Linked DNA regions of Caenorhabditis elegans. The protein of the gene in region 2 interacts with the protein of the main gene of each other region in a pairwise test. Each region holds a gene or a part of one and is shown on either strand. Other genes may lie near its edges. The genes, in order: F59C12.3, clc-1 and ifa-1.

Region 1 (7,990 bases), 5.6 Mb from region 2:
TGCACAGAGATGCCGATGGTGAGCGTAGGGCCCAGCGCACTGCCTCCCACCTATCGTTGATCAATCGATTTCTTACTCGCGTCTCGAGAGGGGCTACTCAATCAACACATTTCTAACACTTGACTAAAAGTTTTACATGGTTTAACTCTTTTCTTTTTTGTTGATAATCTTTTATCAATAGATTTCAAACTTATATGCTATTCATAGTTCATTATTGAAGCTTCTAGTTAATTATTATGACATTGAAATATTTTTTTAATTTGCTATCACAAAGAAAGAAACCAATTGTCACATAGAATCAAAAAATTGGCATTTTCTATTCAATAACCCATATATTAAATCAATAATCACTAACGCATAAAATGATCCTAAAATACTTTTGATGATTTTCAAATGATTTGTTCAAGGAAACTTAAAGCAATTTATGTGAAAATTCGATAAAACTCAGTATCAAAGAAAAAATAAAATAAAACCAAATAAAACTAAATAAAACTAGGTAAAACTAAGTAAGTAAGTAAAATCGAAAAAGATTCTAAAATATTTAAAAAAATCAGAAGTCAAAAATCCAATTCTACAAGATGATAAACCGACGAATTAATTTTTGTTCGTAATTCCTAGAACTACTGTGTTTTTCATTGCAGTATTTCTTGCAATACCATTTTTTGACTGTTTATATTTGAAATTCAATATACAAAACTGGAATTTACGTAGGATTCAAACAAAAATGTGCACATTTAGAAACAAAATTATACGAGCATTTTGAAGACGCTGGGAATCATAGAAGATCCATGAAAAATACCATGGGGTGCAAAATTGATACAAAACATACCATACCTAAAATTATTAAACGAAAAACTACACATTAAATATCAAAATAGTTTTAAAAAAATTCGTCATATAAAACATATTCTCTTTCCTCATATTTTTGTTTCGAAGTTTTTGTTTCTATTGTTTATGTTTTCGGCTAGCTTCATCATATTTTGCTTTTCATCCTGCCCATTTGTTGTTCAGTACACATGATTCAAAAACAAAAAAACTGGAAAAAACAGCAAAAACATAAGTTTCTTCATTTTGGATTTCGACCACGTCAGAGATTAACACGGATAAGCCGCGATAATCAGAACTAAACTAAACGATTTTGGAAAGAAGGTCTTCCACACGAACGCGTGTAATTATATAATTAGGAACTTGCATTTCGGGTCAGGTCACTTGAAACCTTTTAGTGTAGTTTAATCGAAACTGCGTTTGACCGCCCGAGACGGGTTTGTGTTAGTTTTTTGTTGTTGAGTATTTGTGACTTATACCAGAAATTGTCACTTTTAGTTTGGTCTTACAGTTTAGAGTATTGGTATATTATCAAATTAGATTTAATTCAATTTTAAACTAATGAAAATGTTTCTACATTGTATGTATTAGCTCACGAAGTGTCTTCTTATCATTCGTAAAATTTGGGAACATGTTGCACTGGCAACAATATTCATGGTTTAGTTTTGTTTAATTTTTTTCCAGAATACATATAATTTTGTATCATTTTTTCATGTATTCTTGTGGCGTCAATGTGTCTCATTTTGGTTTGATCTACGTAGACCTACAAAAAATGCAGGAGTTCAGACGCAGAGTTCTCAACTGATTTTGCACGGTTAAGAACGCGCTGGCGTCAATTTTTTTTCGATTGAAAAACTCCCGCATTTTTTGTAGATGAAACCGTAATGCCTGACACCGTGGGCCTGACACCACGTTTGTATTTGCATTCAAAATATTCATTCATTCAAGATGTGAAGTTAAAATTCATGTTAGTATTAGCTTCATGTAGTTTAGTTGAAAAATGACCACGTGAGAATTACGTTATTGATTAAATATTTCTAGGTATGATTGCCATATTAGCACCCAAATAAATGTCTAATTTTTCTCACCTATTTTTTTCTCGTTCTACATTCAATCTTGATGATTCACTATTTAATCGAAACTAATCTCAGGGTGAATGAATCGAGGGGACGTGATAGATCCGCGCTCGTCGGATGGCACATCATCGGATCAGCGACGAGTGCATGCAGTGCCACCGACACCCATGTATCAGGGAGAGACGAACATTTTAGACTCACTTCTAAAGGAGGCTCAGTTGAATCCAAGTCTGAAAGCGAGTGGTGAGCAATATCGAACCAGGGGTCCTGCAATTCGAAAAACTATTTTTCAGTGATGAACCACCAGGCTCAAACAAAAAGCAAGGATGACGACGAGAAGCGGTTGCAGAAGATGCTCGAAAAATATCAGCTTGAAATGAACATGCAAAGAGCAAACAGCCGGAAGGATTTACATGGAAGTGCAGGACGTGCGTGTGACATTTTTTGTTTTTTTTCTGTTTTTGGTGGATTGATGAAAATAGTATATTATTTCAGCATCACCTATCAGTCATTCTCAGCCATGTCTTATTGCGAGTGGATCAAGATCGTCAGAGTAAGTATTGGTTTTATGATGTTTTTGAAACGTTATACGGTAAACTGTAAAATTTTTTTTGAATGTATCAATAACTTTATCCACAGTGTTTCCCACTATGCATTAATTTCAGCCACACTTTTTAAATAAGGAAATTTGTAGCATTTTTTTTTTCATTTTATAAAATTATAAAAATCGTAGAAAACATTTTGGTGAATTTAATAAGTAGTAAGTGACGAATACTGAAAAATTGCTAGATTTCTCTCTTTTTTTTTTGTGAATAAAAAATTCAAAAATTATAACAAGAGTTTCATTTTTATATTTAATCACTATATTCGTATGGAAAAACTTTTAAACAACTTCCGCACAGGTTTTTAGCTAAACGATTATCTAAAATTAAAACTTCCTACTTTCAAGTTGCATTTCAAAAAACAAACAAACTTTTTTGACAAACTCAACATTTTTCCTGAGATATTTTTTTTACAAAAAAAAGCTTGACCTTCTTCTTTTAAACATTAATAATTTCAGTATTCCCCCAAATGAATCAAAAATGAGCACATCTGCCTATCAGCGTAGGGCATCTGCATCTGGAGATCAAGCACTTGACGTCCCCACATTGAGCCAAACTAACAGAGTAAGAACTTCAACAAGCAACAGCAAAACAAACAATTATTTTAGGGAGTATCCAGCAACCAGAAGCTCATTCAAATTCTCCGCGAGGAGAATGTGCACTTGAAAAAAGAGCTCGACGCTTTCAAGCGCAGTCTTTCAAAACTACAACAGGTTTGTTGGAAGTTTCAAAATAGTGGGAAACCTAAATGCTTGCAGATTGAATACTCATATGCTCGACTGGAAAAAGAATACGAATACTTGGCAAATGAACGAAAAAAGCAAGAAAATTTAGAGCTGAACGTGATTATTCAATTGGAAAAGTCTGTAAAAAAGTAAGTTGGTTGAAAATCTTGTCGGTAAAAAGAGACAACAATTTTCTGATATTTATATCTAATGAAGGCAATATAAAAAAGTTTCCATTTAAAAATGAATTGAAAACTATTTCACAAAATTCACGAGCAGCACTTTTTTGTTGTTTGGGGCAAACTAGACAAACATTGAACACAACTAATATCATTGAAGTTCACAACAATAATGATTTGATTAAACAAACTTGGGCAAAATACTCTTCGCATTTGGCTCTTGCAACTTGCCCAAGTTTGGCCCAAAAAATCTTAACTTGGCTTAGAAGTTGGCTAAACTTGAGAAAAAGGATTGAGACTGCACCAGAGTTTAACCAAAGCCGAACTCTACTCTTACCCTACTTTAAACCCAACTCTTGCCAAACTTTGGCCCAAACTTTTCTTGTTTCGTTTCAAACTTTGGTAGAAGTCTGGCGAGAGTTGGGTGAAACTTGTGTTGAACTTTGGTGTAATTTTTGCCGAAGTCTTGCCTAACTTTTGGCCAAGTTGCGCCAATCCATGTTGATATTTTGTAGGACAAAGTTGGGCAAGAAGCCAGAACCAAATGCCGAGTAAGCAAAAAAAAGCTTATTTCATACAAAGTTTTACACGGGCATATTTTTCTGAAATTTTACAATATTTTTATTTTAAAAAGTTTATCCAAAAAAAAAACTGACAAGCGGCAATATATCAAACAAACATCCAATCAACAGGAAAATCCATTATCTTCTAAAAATCTTAGTTTCAGACTTACCATCGAAAGAGACGACTTGCAAATGCGGCTGGAAAAAGCAAGTACTGAACCAACGATGGTGGCGAACCTGATGTTAAACGAAATTCAGCAGAGTGAGGAGAAAAAAAGAAATAAATTTGATACAATAGAACTGGAAACAGAGAAGCAGAATGAGAAATATGAAAAAAAAAACGAATAAAATACTTATACAATTGATTTTTTTCCGATTCAGGGCAAGAACTCTTCGCATGCAAAGAGCGGCAAAAAATGGAGATTGAGGCACAGAATCAGACGTTGGAGGAGCAACGAAATCATATTGCAATGCTTGAGAAGGCACTCGCCAATTCACAAGAGAGATTGGCGAAGCGGGAAAAAGTATGGAATATTTGTGGGAGAATGTGCTGAGCGGAATGGATAACATTTCCAATTTATTTATGGGAAAATGGGGGGAGAACAAAAGTATAGGACCACAACAGTGTACTTTTGATAAAAGTGAACAGTTGTTTGGGTATTTTGTGAATATGGAGAATTTCTGAACATATAGACTAAAAATGTTTTCAAATGAACGAAATTCGTAATGAAACTTCTCCAAAAATTTAAAATTTTTTTTTCCTGACTGTTAGCTAAAATCTCTAATTTAGAATATTTTACCGTGTCGCAGTAGTCGGAAATTGAAGTTTTTGAATTATGATCTCACTTCGTTGATTATGGTACATTTAGAGCCCATTGGTGGCCAGGTTTGGTCACCTTTGGCCACTTTTTCGGTTTTTAAGGATTTTGATCAACATGACTTCATAACGAGACAACCCAAAAATAAATAAAAAATTGTCTCACTAGCCGGAAATCAATTTTTACTTGAAATAGATTTTTAACAGTTGTCTCATTTTTTTTGTTTTTGATGAGACACTCCAATTGATATAATAATGAATAAAAGTGAAACGCGAAAAAAATTTGCAAACTGACGTGGGAAAATAAGAAATGAAAAAAAACTTCCATGTGATACAAACAACAATTGAAAACGTGCTGTGTTTAGAAACATTCAGAACTTGTCTATCAATTTTTTTTCTATTTTCAAGGTAATTTTAAAGGCACTCAAATAGTTATGTACCATTACTTTTGCATTCATATTCAAAAAATATTGCGAAATTCAAATTTTAATTTAACTTTGCAATATACCTTGCACTTCCGGACTTCTCTAAAAAATGTTTTTTGCTTTCTTAACTTACATTAAAAATATTTTTTAAAGCTCCCAAATCAAAACTGTTTTCTTGATAGTACGTTATCTTTTTTTTGAAATTAAAATTCAATAAGAAACACTTTTTCTAGAAATGCGAAGAATTGTCCGCTGTAGTGGCACACGCTGATGAGCTGCGAAAGCAACTAAACGAAGTATGGGAAGAACAACATCGGAGGGATCAGATGGTTGAGTCGGAACGGGCTCAGTGGGAAATGGAGAAGACTCAGCTAAGAATGCAATTGAACAAAGACACATCACTCACTGGAAGTCTTAAGGTTTGTCTCGAAACAGGGAGAGAAATAGTAGTAAATGAAAGTAATGTGGGGTGTGCTAGGAAAAGGGGGGGGGGGGGCGACAACATTTGAACCGGTTCCCGATTATGGGGTTAAATGTCCGGTAATGAAAGTTTTATTGATATAGATCAGCACCGGTCTCAGTATTTTTTTTCTGAAAATTAGATGGGACGCCTATAGGTTAGTACATTTGAAAACGTTTGCAGAGGGTCTAAAGAGCGTCATCATTTTTCTAATATATACCATTAAAAAATGGAGAATTAAAAATTTTTCTAGCATCTCATAATTTTTTTACTGGAAATTAAAATTATAAACTATTATTATTAGTTTATCTTCTATAACAATCTTATCCTAGATATTGCCGTCTAAGCCGTCTTTGTACATAGTAGTACATAAGCCCTGAAATAGAACATGCCAGAACATCTATAGAATTACTCATGGAATTACTAACCACTACTCATTTGCATAATCATCAATTTTGCAGCGAACCACTACTCCCGGCAGCACAGAGGATCTTATTCGAATGCGAAAGAGCATTCAATCAAAAGACGACAAGATTCAGCAACTCGAAAGAATGGTGAACGATTTGCGAAAGTTTGTTTTTTTTTCTTTCTCTCTTCTTTTATTCTCTTCGTTTGTTGAAGAACTGAGCCGAAAACGGAAATGGAGAGCAGAATTGAAAAAGCTTTTTTTAGAACTCACGGTGACAAAACTGAGCAACGGAAGTCAACTCTTGCAACAATAACTGACAACTTTGAAACCCAGGTGGACAAATTGAAAGAGGAGAGTTATGAAAAGGTGAGGCAAGAACTGCTGCTAAATTTTTTATACAAAATTTAAAACAAGTGAAAACATTTATAAGGGATCTTTTCAAAAATAGAGACGTTACTTTTCAAGGTTACGTGTTTTCTCACAGAAAATGTTTTCAATAAATTGTTTAAAGTTTCCCAGTTGCCCCTTATACATATTAACATAATTTATTGTTACATATACTATATAGCACTAAATTTTCGGTCATAAACCCAGTTTATAAAAGCCTCAACAACCGCTCTCTTTCGTGTCCTCGGTAGTATAGTGGTGAGTATCCGCGTCTGTCACATGCGAGACCCGGGTTCAATTCCCGGCCGGGGAGAATCTTTTTGCCTAATAACTTTGGGAGTTTAATTCAAGAGAGTAATTTTAGATTGGTATATTTAATTATCGCGCCTAGAATAAATAAAAATGTTTCTGATATTTGATATACTAGAAATGAGCTTTATTTCTATTATAGAGAACATCAGAAAACACACTTTGAAATGAGCTCACAAATTACAACGGGCATATTCGATGAATAATTGATAAATTTTAGGATCTGATCATCAACGAACTGAGGTCGGAGCGGGACAAATATGCAGCAATGGTAGATAAAAGTGAGTATATGAAGCCCTAGTCGGGAAAAAAGAAAGGCAAAGGGGGAAGCGTCGACTGCATTTCTTTTGGCATGTGAAAAGAGCACTCTTCTTCCTCTCTCCTTTTTTTTCTCATTTCTTTTCTTTTTTTCCAGACAGCGGAGACGAGGCACTGAGTAGAATGGAGGAAATTAGACAGAAAATACAGGAAAGGAAGAAAAAAGGTCGAATGGGCGTGACTGGAGGGTAAGACGCAGTTTTATTAATTGCTCAAATAAATCAAATATAATTTCCTTAATTCCCATATTCCAGGCTATCAGAACATGCAAGAACTTCATCGGGCTCGTTGATGCAAAATTCTCTTCATCGGAGGTGAGACAAAAAATTATGAGACCGTTGTTTTTTCTTCCTAGGAAACTTTGCAAAAAGTACTCAAAATTTGAGTTTTCTGAACGAAAGCAAAACTACAGTGAATCTTGAACTTTTCTCTAATTGTAAGTTCCTTTTTAAGTTAGTTTTTGAGTATAAAATTTTCAGTTGAATACTTTCTAGAAACACACATAGGTCAAGCTGAAAATACTAGCTCCAGAATCTATTACGATTCGATAAACATCTTCAAAAGTAACAAACTATACAAAAAAAGTTGCAGATCATCATCTGGATCATCATTCGACCCTGTACCGACTGCTCCAATTCCTTACAATATGTTCAAAAATAGTAACAATAACAAGTCAATACTTGCGGATAACCAATTTTCTTGAATATTCCTCATGCACTAGTCATCGAAATTCTATTTATTATTTACAAACACGCTACCAACAACACACTTTCCTTCTTTGTTACTTTCTGTTACATGCATAATTCAATTTATTTTTCAATTCAAGTTTCCAAAGTCCATTCCTCTTAATACAATTTGTATGTAGTTTTGTTCTTTTAATTTTTAGCCAGTTTAG
Region 2 (4,173 bases):
TTTTAAAAAAATAGTGCAAAATAAAATAAAAACACATTTTTAATAAGCGGAATATGTATATTGTATATAGTCATATATTGAATTGTCAGTCAGTTGCTTTCACAGAAAAAACAACTTTTTAGAATTCATGTCACTATCTAAAGATTTTCACCAATCTTTACTTCTATCAAAATGTTTACAATGACTCACTTTTTCAACCTTTGTTGCACAATACATCTTTCAATTTTTGCTCAAACACTTGGCATTGTTACATTTCATCTAACATATTATGTTCCGAGTTCAACTAATGATCTTTCTCGCTGCGCGCGTTTTTCAAATTCTTAAGAAACTGTGAAATAATTGACTATGTTCTTTGACCGAGCCTCAGTAGTGATGCCTCCCACGCCGCAAACTTGGGAGCAACAAGTCGAAAAAAATCGACAAAAATTGCTCCTGATCTTCGTGACACGTCAGTGTGTCACTAAGAACAGACATATTCACATGTCTTACCACAGTTCAAAAGACCTTTTACAAACACAAAACCGTTACATTTTTTGCCGTCCCCATCTTGCCAGTCTTGTTTGCACTTTTTCAGTGTAGTTCGGCGTTAAATGCGAAAAACCAAGTTCAAAATCTTACAAAGCTTTAACAAATAGATTGGTGCCGACGTCTGGGCTGAGCAGTTTATATCACAGAAAATGCAGGGAAATAATAAATATAATCAAGTTTAATTAACAGCAGTGTTCCCCAAGACACACTGTTAGTGCTCCCAAAATGACATCCGCCGCAGATAAGATGAGGGCTCCAACTGCAAGCCAAAACGAGTATCCAAGCTGAAAAATTAAGTTGTGAGTTTGTACAAACAAAGGTTTATGAGCAGCTTTTGCGCCTTAGGGTATGTGCAGATTGGCCAAAAAGTTGTTCAATGTGAGATAGGGAGGGTTTCTCAAAGCTTTATAATCGGGTTTTAAAGGGTTAGAACATGTGTAAAAAAAGAGTTTTAGTGAAGTTTAATAGTTTCAATCAAATAATTTTACACTTTTTCCCACATTAAGAATAGCATTCTCACCTGCGAGTTTGTATTAATTCCATTTGTAAATTGATTCCATTCAGCTGCATAAACAATAACAGCGATGAGCAGAAGAATAGTAGAGATGACTGCAAAGAGGGTGAGTGGATGGATGATATATTTCTTGCAGCAGCAGGCAAGGCTGAAAGTTGTTTGAATTATATTAATGTCGGCTTTCGCTAATCTAACCATGTCAAAAAGTTGTAGACAACTGCAAAAATTTGGACAATCAAAGAGAGGATCATGCAGACGACGACACATTTCATCCATCCTGGAAGATTCTGAAAACAGTATTTTTGAGCATATAAATAATTTCATCAACATACCGCCCACCAATCCTGACACTGGGTTCCCTGAGAGTGACCAATACATGACCAAGGCATCAAGCCATTCCATTCAGATGTGTTGATATGAGTTATATCTTTCACATTATTTTCAACAGTATTCCAACCTGAGAGTTTGAAAATTCACTTTTTCTAACATCTCCAAAGATGAAACATACTTGGCGTAAACAAAGCAACTGCTGTTAAAATAGCACTACCAGCCATAATAAGTCCATAGAGAATTTGGGTGAGTCCGGAAAGACACATTGTGAACCTGAAACATATGGTTTTAATTTTAATATTTTTTTCAGAAGATTGACGGACAAAAAGTATTAAAAAAGTATGAAAACAATTTCTCCTAAATATGGAAATTTCTATTGACGACAGACAAACACATGGTGGCATCTATGCAACCACCTAGTTACGGAATGAGAATGCACTTCAATGTAAGAATGACGACAGCACAAAATACTAAAATAGCCTGCACATTTGACAACTATACATCTTAACCAAAATATGAAAATGATGAAATAAATGCTCAAAGTGGGCAGAAACAGTGTTTTTCTTATCGCCATTGCCAACTGGGCTGTAAAAGTTTGGGAGGGACACAGGAAGAAGTGATAAAACTAGATGCAAAAAGTCAAAACGGATTTTTTTAATTTTTGAATAGATTTTAGATACTCGGAGAGTGAAAAATAAAACAACAAACGTCGTTTGAAGCATTCAAAATATTTTCACAAAACCTGATGTATCAAGTTACATTACTAAAGGACCAATTTTGGAAGAAAATTTCACAACCCGAACTAGTTTTCAAGAAATAAGGAATGGCAACGTGCTATGTCACACAAACTGGAATGAAAAAAATGCTTCATAGATAAGATTGAACACTCAAATATTTACCTTAAATGTCGATGGGACGGCGTGAACTTGATAGAAAATATGAAAAATGTGTGTTATATACAAGAGTTAGGCTAGTTTTAAAGTAAAGAGGTGGAGAGAAATAAAGCGTTTGCTTGCTCGTATCAGTAGAACTCCTCGACACGTCATGTAACCGTTTTCGGTATGATTCAGTCAAGAGATAGACCAAAAAATAAAGTGTTGATAAGAAACTCAAGTTGGGCGTTGTAGAATTTTGAAAGTTGACATAGAGCCATTTCTTAATTTCTGTTAAAATTCTTTGTGAGTCAGCGAGTTTTGAGCAGATGGAAACGGTGATTAGTTCGTATAATCGTTATCAACTTACAGTCAGATGCTCAAATATTTCGACGAATTTTCCTATCATTTCAGCCAGTATCTTTCGTAGTTTTACAAAAGTGGAGTTTACGGTGAATCACGTATATGCGAACACAAAAGTGACGTGTTTTCATTTTTCAAAAACTTTTGTTTAGTAAGCTTCACTCAAAATGTTTTGAAACAAGCTTCAAACTTTCAAATGATTTTTTTGTGAATATTTAAAAAAAAAACTGATTTATTGGCAAGAAACAGGTGGTTTCAGCTAACTTTCTTTTTACGTCTGGAAATATAAAAAATTCGAAAACATTTTTATTTCGTGGAAATAATAATAACTTTAAATTGTTGGTTTTTTTTTGGTAAAGATTGGAAAATCAAAGCTAATTAATTTTCCAATCAGATCGTTAGCAAATTGTTCAAGATTTTTATCATACATGCCTGAACAATAATATTTACTAGAAGGTTATTTGATGTTTTAAATAACCAAAACAATAATGATAAACGGAATTTATGACTTGACATTTTTCAAAGTGTATCAGGTATGTGAAATAACCGAACCTTTAAAGGTGGAGTAGCACCAGTGGGGATTTCGTCTAAATGCACTTATAATGATCTAAAACAACCGAATATCATAAGAAAAAACTCCAACAAATTTTAGATGTTTTCTAGTTTCCGGTCAAAGTTTTGGCAAGTTGTCAAAATTTTGAAAAAAATGTGAGTTTTGAGGAAATCCATAACTATGTCGAATGTTCCGACTACTACAATATTCTATTACAAATAGTTAAAACAAAGTTACAGTATGATAAAAAATGTAGGAACAAACTTTTTTTGGTCGACTTCCGAAATTAGTTGCAAAAACTGAGTAATTTTCACATTTTGACAGTAAACAAAAAAAAAGTTTTCAAAAAAATTTTGAAACATTTTATTATGCTATTCGGTCATTTTGGAACCATAGGAATAGTTTTTCACTCTTTCCCTACTAGCGCTACTCCACCTTTAGGTTTTTTTGAGTTTGAAGACTACCAATGTCAATCTATAATACAAAAGAAGAATGTTGTCTATTTCAGCATGTTGCAAAAAACGTATGAAACTTGGAACATCGAGAATGCTCACGACACGGGTTCACGACGGGTTCACGACACTAATTGTGGATTTGTTTGTTTTGATGGACTTGAAATAAAACCAAAAAATTGAATTTCACAGTGAAAATTTCTGTAGTTATCAAAAAAACGCTGAAAACTGGACCAAATTATTTTAAAAAATTATAAAAATAAGCAATAGAAGCAACTTGGCAAAAATTAAAGGTTTAGCATAGCTTGGTTTCTCTCGAACGTTCCAATTTCCATAAATCCCTACTGAAAGAGTTTTGCTAATTCAAATTACGAAAATATCATATGTAGTAGATCTGTTCGATTTGGGTTTCCATTAATACAAAGTTCTCAAATTGCTAACTAAAAATGAGTAGGAATGAAAGTAAACAGAGAAACAGTTTCTTGGAACATATCCTCAAAAAACTTAATTTGAACAATTGAAGTAGTATTGCAAATATTTTATAAGATCTGAAAGTTTACA
Region 3 (4,901 bases), 230 kb from region 2:
GCAAACTGTAGTGCTCAGTGCAAATTTAAAGCTCATTTAAAAATGCAATAGATGTGCTTTTAGATGGAACGCTGAAAAAGTATTTGGTAACAATTCCAGCGGAAAAATATTTTGTTAAAACCCTAGACAGTTTTGTAGTAGCTTCATTTTCTCGAATCAAGCGCAGTGACCATAGTTTCAAAATATTTTCCCTTGTTTGGCATACGCTCCTACTTCAAAATTATATTTAAAAATTTAAAACATTATATTCGTGCAACTGGAATTTTAAGAAGGACAACACTTTAAACTTCTCAGTAACGCGAGTTTTAGATGTCGACGTCGGCTCATCTCGCCGATATACAATTATTTACGGCATTTCGTTCAGCTCTATTGATTAGTAACCAAAAACATACGCTTCCATTTCAGGTGGGCGAATTCCGACGATTTTGAGAATTTTACATCATCTGTTCTATGAAAATAACCTACGCAAATACATTGTGATCAAATTTTTTTTTGATGTTTGAATGATAAATGATTTATTGAAATAAGGTCAAATAAATGCGCAGAAATCAGCATGAAAGTTACAAAATGGGAAGAAGATTTTGGGATTTTCAACAAGAAATTGTCACAATATCTAGTTAATTGTTGGGAAGTCGCCTGATTAGGCAGTGCTCTGGCGTTGGATGTGGGTAGCACGTTCCTGAAATTAATATCAATGTTGTAAATATAATGACATTTAATTGTTGATCTCACCTCTCCTTCTTTGTTGAAGAGGATGGTTTGGACGTTGTTTCCGCTTCCGAACGAGTCTTCAGCATCATAGACCAATTGATCTGGTGGTGAGGCAACTCCTTGGTTACGGGCGAAGATTTTGAGGGTCTTTCCGGCACGAAGGACAAAGTCTCTTGGAAGCGTGTAGACATTCTCACGTTTTCCGTCGATACGTCTCTTCAACTTCCACTCACCGATAGCCTGAAAGAGAACAAAAAATATTTGAAACTGTTGTGATTCAAGTTCCTACCTCGTCCTTGGCACGATGTGTGTTCTGGAGGACGATGAACTTTCCATCCGGCGATGCCTCGTGGATAGAAACATTTCCCTTTGCAGAACGCTGGAACGATTGACGGGATGCAGTTTCGCCCTTGACGACTCTCATCGTCTCTGAAAAAGGATGTATGTTTTAATGGAAAAAATTGTCTTTCTGCTACCGGTATCGGTTTCCTGTGTGATAGCATGGGTCTTGACAACCTGTTCGACAAGTTGCTTGAGTCCAGCACGGTTCTCTTCTCCTTCGAGCATCTTTCTGTAGATGGCGATTTCGGCATCCAAAGTTTGTTTGGTATCCAGGAGCATTTGCAATTCGACCATAAGGGCTTGGCATTCCTCACGCATTTTGCGGATTTGGGAATCTCTGTCGTTGAGGGCTGCTTCATAAGATCTCTGATCATCTTCCAATTGGTAGTTGAGCTCTTGAATTTGTTTCTCGAGGAGAGAGTTGCGGCTTTCAAGATCAGCGAGCTTTCCACGCAAATCGCTGAGTTGGGTGCGGAGTCTTTTGACTTCTTCTTTGGCATACCCTTGTTCCATGTTCTGTCTGGCAGACTGCGTTTGGATCTCTTGGACCTTAAGACGATACCAGGATTCCATGTCATTACGGTGAACGTTGTTGACTTGGTCATATTCCTCACGGATGTCACGAATAGCCGAGGAGAGTTCGTTCTTGAAGAACTCGCGGTTTTCTGGAGTAGTATCACGAGAAGCCAAAGTTTGAAGCTCCTTGATCTCATTGTCATGGACACGACGCAAGAAATCAATCTCCTCAAGAAGAGTTTGAACTTGGTTTTGGTAGTCAATACGATTGAGGGTTTCTTGATCCAAGTCGGTACGGGCTCTTTGAAGCTCAGAAAGCAAACGCTGATTCTCTTGCTTGATCCGCTTCACCTCATCCTCAAGCTGAGCAATACGACGTTTCAGAAGGCTAATTTCAGCTTCAAGATTAGAAAGGGTTACTAGAAGTGCGTCGATCTTAGCGCGATCCTGTTCACGGCCCTTGGTGGCATCTTCCAATCTGAAAAATACATTTTGTAGAAAAAGTATAATAACGGTAATATGCTGTTCATAATTTTCAAAACATATGTTCGTACTTTCTGCGCATCTCAGCGAGTTCATCTTGCATCTTCTTGAGTTGACCTTCCATATCCTTGCGTTGCTTATTGGTTTCATCAATCAGCTTTTGAGCATCCTATAATATAGTTTTCTAACCAAAAGTTTCCTTTCTGTATTTTCCTACCACAAGTTCTCCCTCATACATATTACGAATGTTGTGCGTGTCTTTTCCCCATTTGGAACGAAGTGCGTCAAGATCGGCTGCCAATTTTCTATTCTGGGCTTCTAGGAAACGGACCTAAAAAACAACTATTGGGTGTGGTCCATCTTATTCCTATTACACACCTTTTCGATGTAGCTAGCAAGTCGATCGTTCAAATCGCTCATTTCTTTCTTCTCACGTTCACGAGAGTCACGGATGGTTGATGCAGCATTTTGTCCAAATGGCGACAAGCCGGATCCAGCACCTGAGCGCATCTCGGTCACAATTTTGAGCATACGATCTTGGGCTGGAATATGTTGATTTAAATGTTTTGCACAGACAACAATAAACTTACAAGTAACGTTTCCGGTTGTACGCCCTCCGAGCGGAGCTCTAGCTGAAGGTGTTGTGGAAGTGAAAGACATCGCTGCAAATCGTAAATTTCTATTGTGAAAGTGAAAAGGGCCGACTGTACTCGGCAGCTTCGAAATTTCAAAATGAGGTTGTGAGTTGTATGGCAACCCCTGACTGCCGTAATGTGTGACCAAGGAATTAGTCGGAGGCTGACTGTAGAGACAAAAGCGGAGTCTCAACGGTGCGCAAACTAGGTGGGCGTCAAATTTCTTGCACTGCTCCTCACTTTTTATTCAACATTTTCTACTCCTCCTCCTTCATTGCTACCAACCGCAGCTTCCTCCCACACTAATGATAATAGCATGTAGACAAAAGGGATTAAACGAAAATTGCAATTTTTTGAGTTAGTTGAAATTGAGGGCACAAGAAAGGCTTACTCTTTTCAATCACTTCGTAATTGACAGTTCGTGTGGAACTTTGCTCGCTTCGAGCGCTAGAAGCGCTTGATCGTCGCGAAGATGGAAGAGAAACAATATAACCTTCCATAGTCAGAAAATGAAATTTTTTGTTCCTCAACTCTTTTTATACATGGCGGCAGAACAAAACAGGCAATGCAAAATTAATATATTTCAGTATTCTAGACTGTTGTATAAAGAGAAAAAAACCTATGAGTAACCTATGAAAATCTATGAGGAGAAATAGAAAACTCAATCAAATATTATTATTGCCCTTTTCCACGAAAGGAAATGAGATCATAGTTGTTTGCCTATGTATATTTATATTGATTCAAGTCGGTGTTTGGAATTTTTTTGCAAAGGGAGGCGTCAAGAATCACTTTAAAATGGGTGTGAAGTGAGGACGGAACGGCGGCTTCTTGATATCTGGCGCGAATGCGGAAAAAAGAATAGGTGTGAGGGATGGGCGCGTCCTCCAAAAATCATCTCATCCTCAACTCAGTCAACCCTTACGTCGTTACGATTCCTCTCGATTCTACTTTTTTCGCCTATTGGACATGCGTTTTTGCATAAATTCATACGTTTCGAGGCTTTGCTAAAGTGCGAAATGACATTTGAGATTTTTTTGGGTTGAGGTGATTCATTTCAATTTGCTACCGTGCCTACGCACTTTTGTGGAAGAGGAGACAAAAACTAGACAACGCCTCGGAATATATGTTTGTACAAAATTGTTCAAAAATTTGAAGTGAGAAGAAAATTAGCCTTGAATTAACTTTGAGTACTCACGAGTAGTTTATTGATTGATGACTAGTTCAAATGGAATAACGGTGCAAATATGTTTGAAAAAGTTTAGAAACACCTACATATATAAGTTGCGAGAATATGTGTTAGTTGTCTGGTTTTCACAAAAGCGATTAAATCTGGGAACACTCCTATTCTACTTCTGTCACTTTCAAGATTGAATATGGATTCGTTTAAATGAAATTCAAGCAACGGATTGAGCTTTAACTATGTAAAACACTGTATTTTTTCAGCAAACACGGTGTTTTATATTAGCAAGAGTATTTAAATTGCTCAGGTCTAAAAAAAAGTGATGTTTTTTAAACTATATATACATTCAGAAATGATCTACCAAGTTTTTGTAAATAAACTCCTGTTAGATAATTTATTTTGCCGAAGTGAATGCAATTTTCAGCCAGTTACTTACCCGGACGAGTAGTAGTGTACATTTTTATATAAAAAAGTAGTAGGATCTAGTTGCAAAAATATTCACTAGTATAAGATAAGCCTATGCGGATAAATGTGATGCTTCAATGACAATCGGAAAGATATCTCAATAAAAAATTGCGACAAGGCACAAGAAACGAGCCTCTTATTTACCGATGTGCTTGTTCATCTTGCACTCCGTCTTATCTCACTGTTTCATTAATCTTTTTTCTTTAAAAAACGCATGCCTGTAATGTTATTTTTTCAAAGTTTTGAATTTTCAATCGCTGATCAGTTAGATTTGTTAGTCTATGGTAAGCACCTTACCGCGAAATACAAAGGCAAACATTCCGCAACTCACCTCCTGGAAAGTCATCGGAATAATTTAAGTAGTTAAAATGAAGAAACTCACTTTCTCTGGTAATCTCCATCATTTTTGAAATGTTGATTGGTTAGGTACCGCTTCTCACTGAGAGAAGTATCCGTTTGAACGAGTTTCTGGAAAAATGGGAAGATAAACAGTTTTCTCTGCGTTCCAGCATGGCGGTGTACATAAAAAAGATATCTCGGCTCAAACATCCAGGGCTCTCGGCTATTGA

Evidence for each region.
Region 1: the proteins of clc-1 (region 2) and F59C12.3 interact in a two-hybrid assay, tested with the Caenorhabditis elegans proteins (one large-scale study listed by BioGRID).
Region 3: the proteins of clc-1 (region 2) and ifa-1 interact in a two-hybrid assay, tested with the Caenorhabditis elegans proteins (one large-scale study listed by BioGRID).

The regions. Positions count from the first base shown.
Region 1 is NC_003284.9:16,603,511-16,611,500, reverse strand, and holds the start of F59C12.3 (Angiomotin_C domain-containing protein), read left to right. Parts: upstream 1-1,976; 5' UTR 1,977-1,981; coding exon 1,982-2,144; intron 2,145-2,194; coding exon 2,195-2,329; intron 2,330-2,396; coding exon 2,397-2,454; intron 2,455-2,624; exon of another isoform or gene 2,625-2,849; intron 2,850-2,961; coding exon 2,962-3,067; intron 3,068-3,111; coding exon 3,112-3,216; intron 3,217-3,261; coding exon 3,262-3,377; intron 3,378-4,134; coding exon 4,135-4,232; intron 4,233-4,351; coding exon 4,352-4,494; intron 4,495-5,445; coding exon 5,446-5,631; intron 5,632-6,133; coding exon 6,134-6,243; intron 6,244-6,344; coding exon 6,345-6,447; intron 6,448-6,698; exon of another isoform or gene 6,699-6,791; intron 6,792-6,997; coding exon 6,998-7,058; intron 7,059-7,192; coding exon 7,193-7,283; intron 7,284-7,349; coding exon 7,350-7,409; intron 7,410-7,686; coding exon 7,687-7,798; 3' UTR 7,799-7,990.
Region 2 is NC_003284.9:11,045,708-11,049,880, reverse strand, and holds clc-1 (Claudin), read right to left. Parts: upstream 2,436-4,173; 5' UTR 2,272-2,435; intron 1,646-2,271; 5' UTR 1,639-1,645; coding exon 1,551-1,638; intron 1,500-1,550; coding exon 1,375-1,499; intron 1,330-1,374; coding exon 1,238-1,329; intron 1,191-1,237; coding exon 1,049-1,190; intron 813-1,048; coding exon 711-812; 3' UTR 606-710; downstream 1-605.
Region 3 is NC_003284.9:11,271,083-11,275,983, reverse strand, and holds ifa-1 (Intermediate filament protein A), read right to left. Parts: upstream 3,188-4,901; coding exon 3,079-3,187; intron 2,715-3,078; coding exon 2,643-2,714; intron 2,595-2,642; coding exon 2,431-2,594; intron 2,384-2,430; coding exon 2,270-2,383; intron 2,222-2,269; coding exon 2,124-2,221; intron 2,048-2,123; coding exon 1,188-2,047; intron 1,141-1,187; coding exon 1,001-1,140; intron 952-1,000; coding exon 733-951; intron 680-732; coding exon 641-679; 3' UTR 502-640; downstream 1-501. UniProt on the Caenorhabditis elegans protein: Cytoplasmic intermediate filaments make up the structural component of the cytoskeleton providing mechanical strength to cells.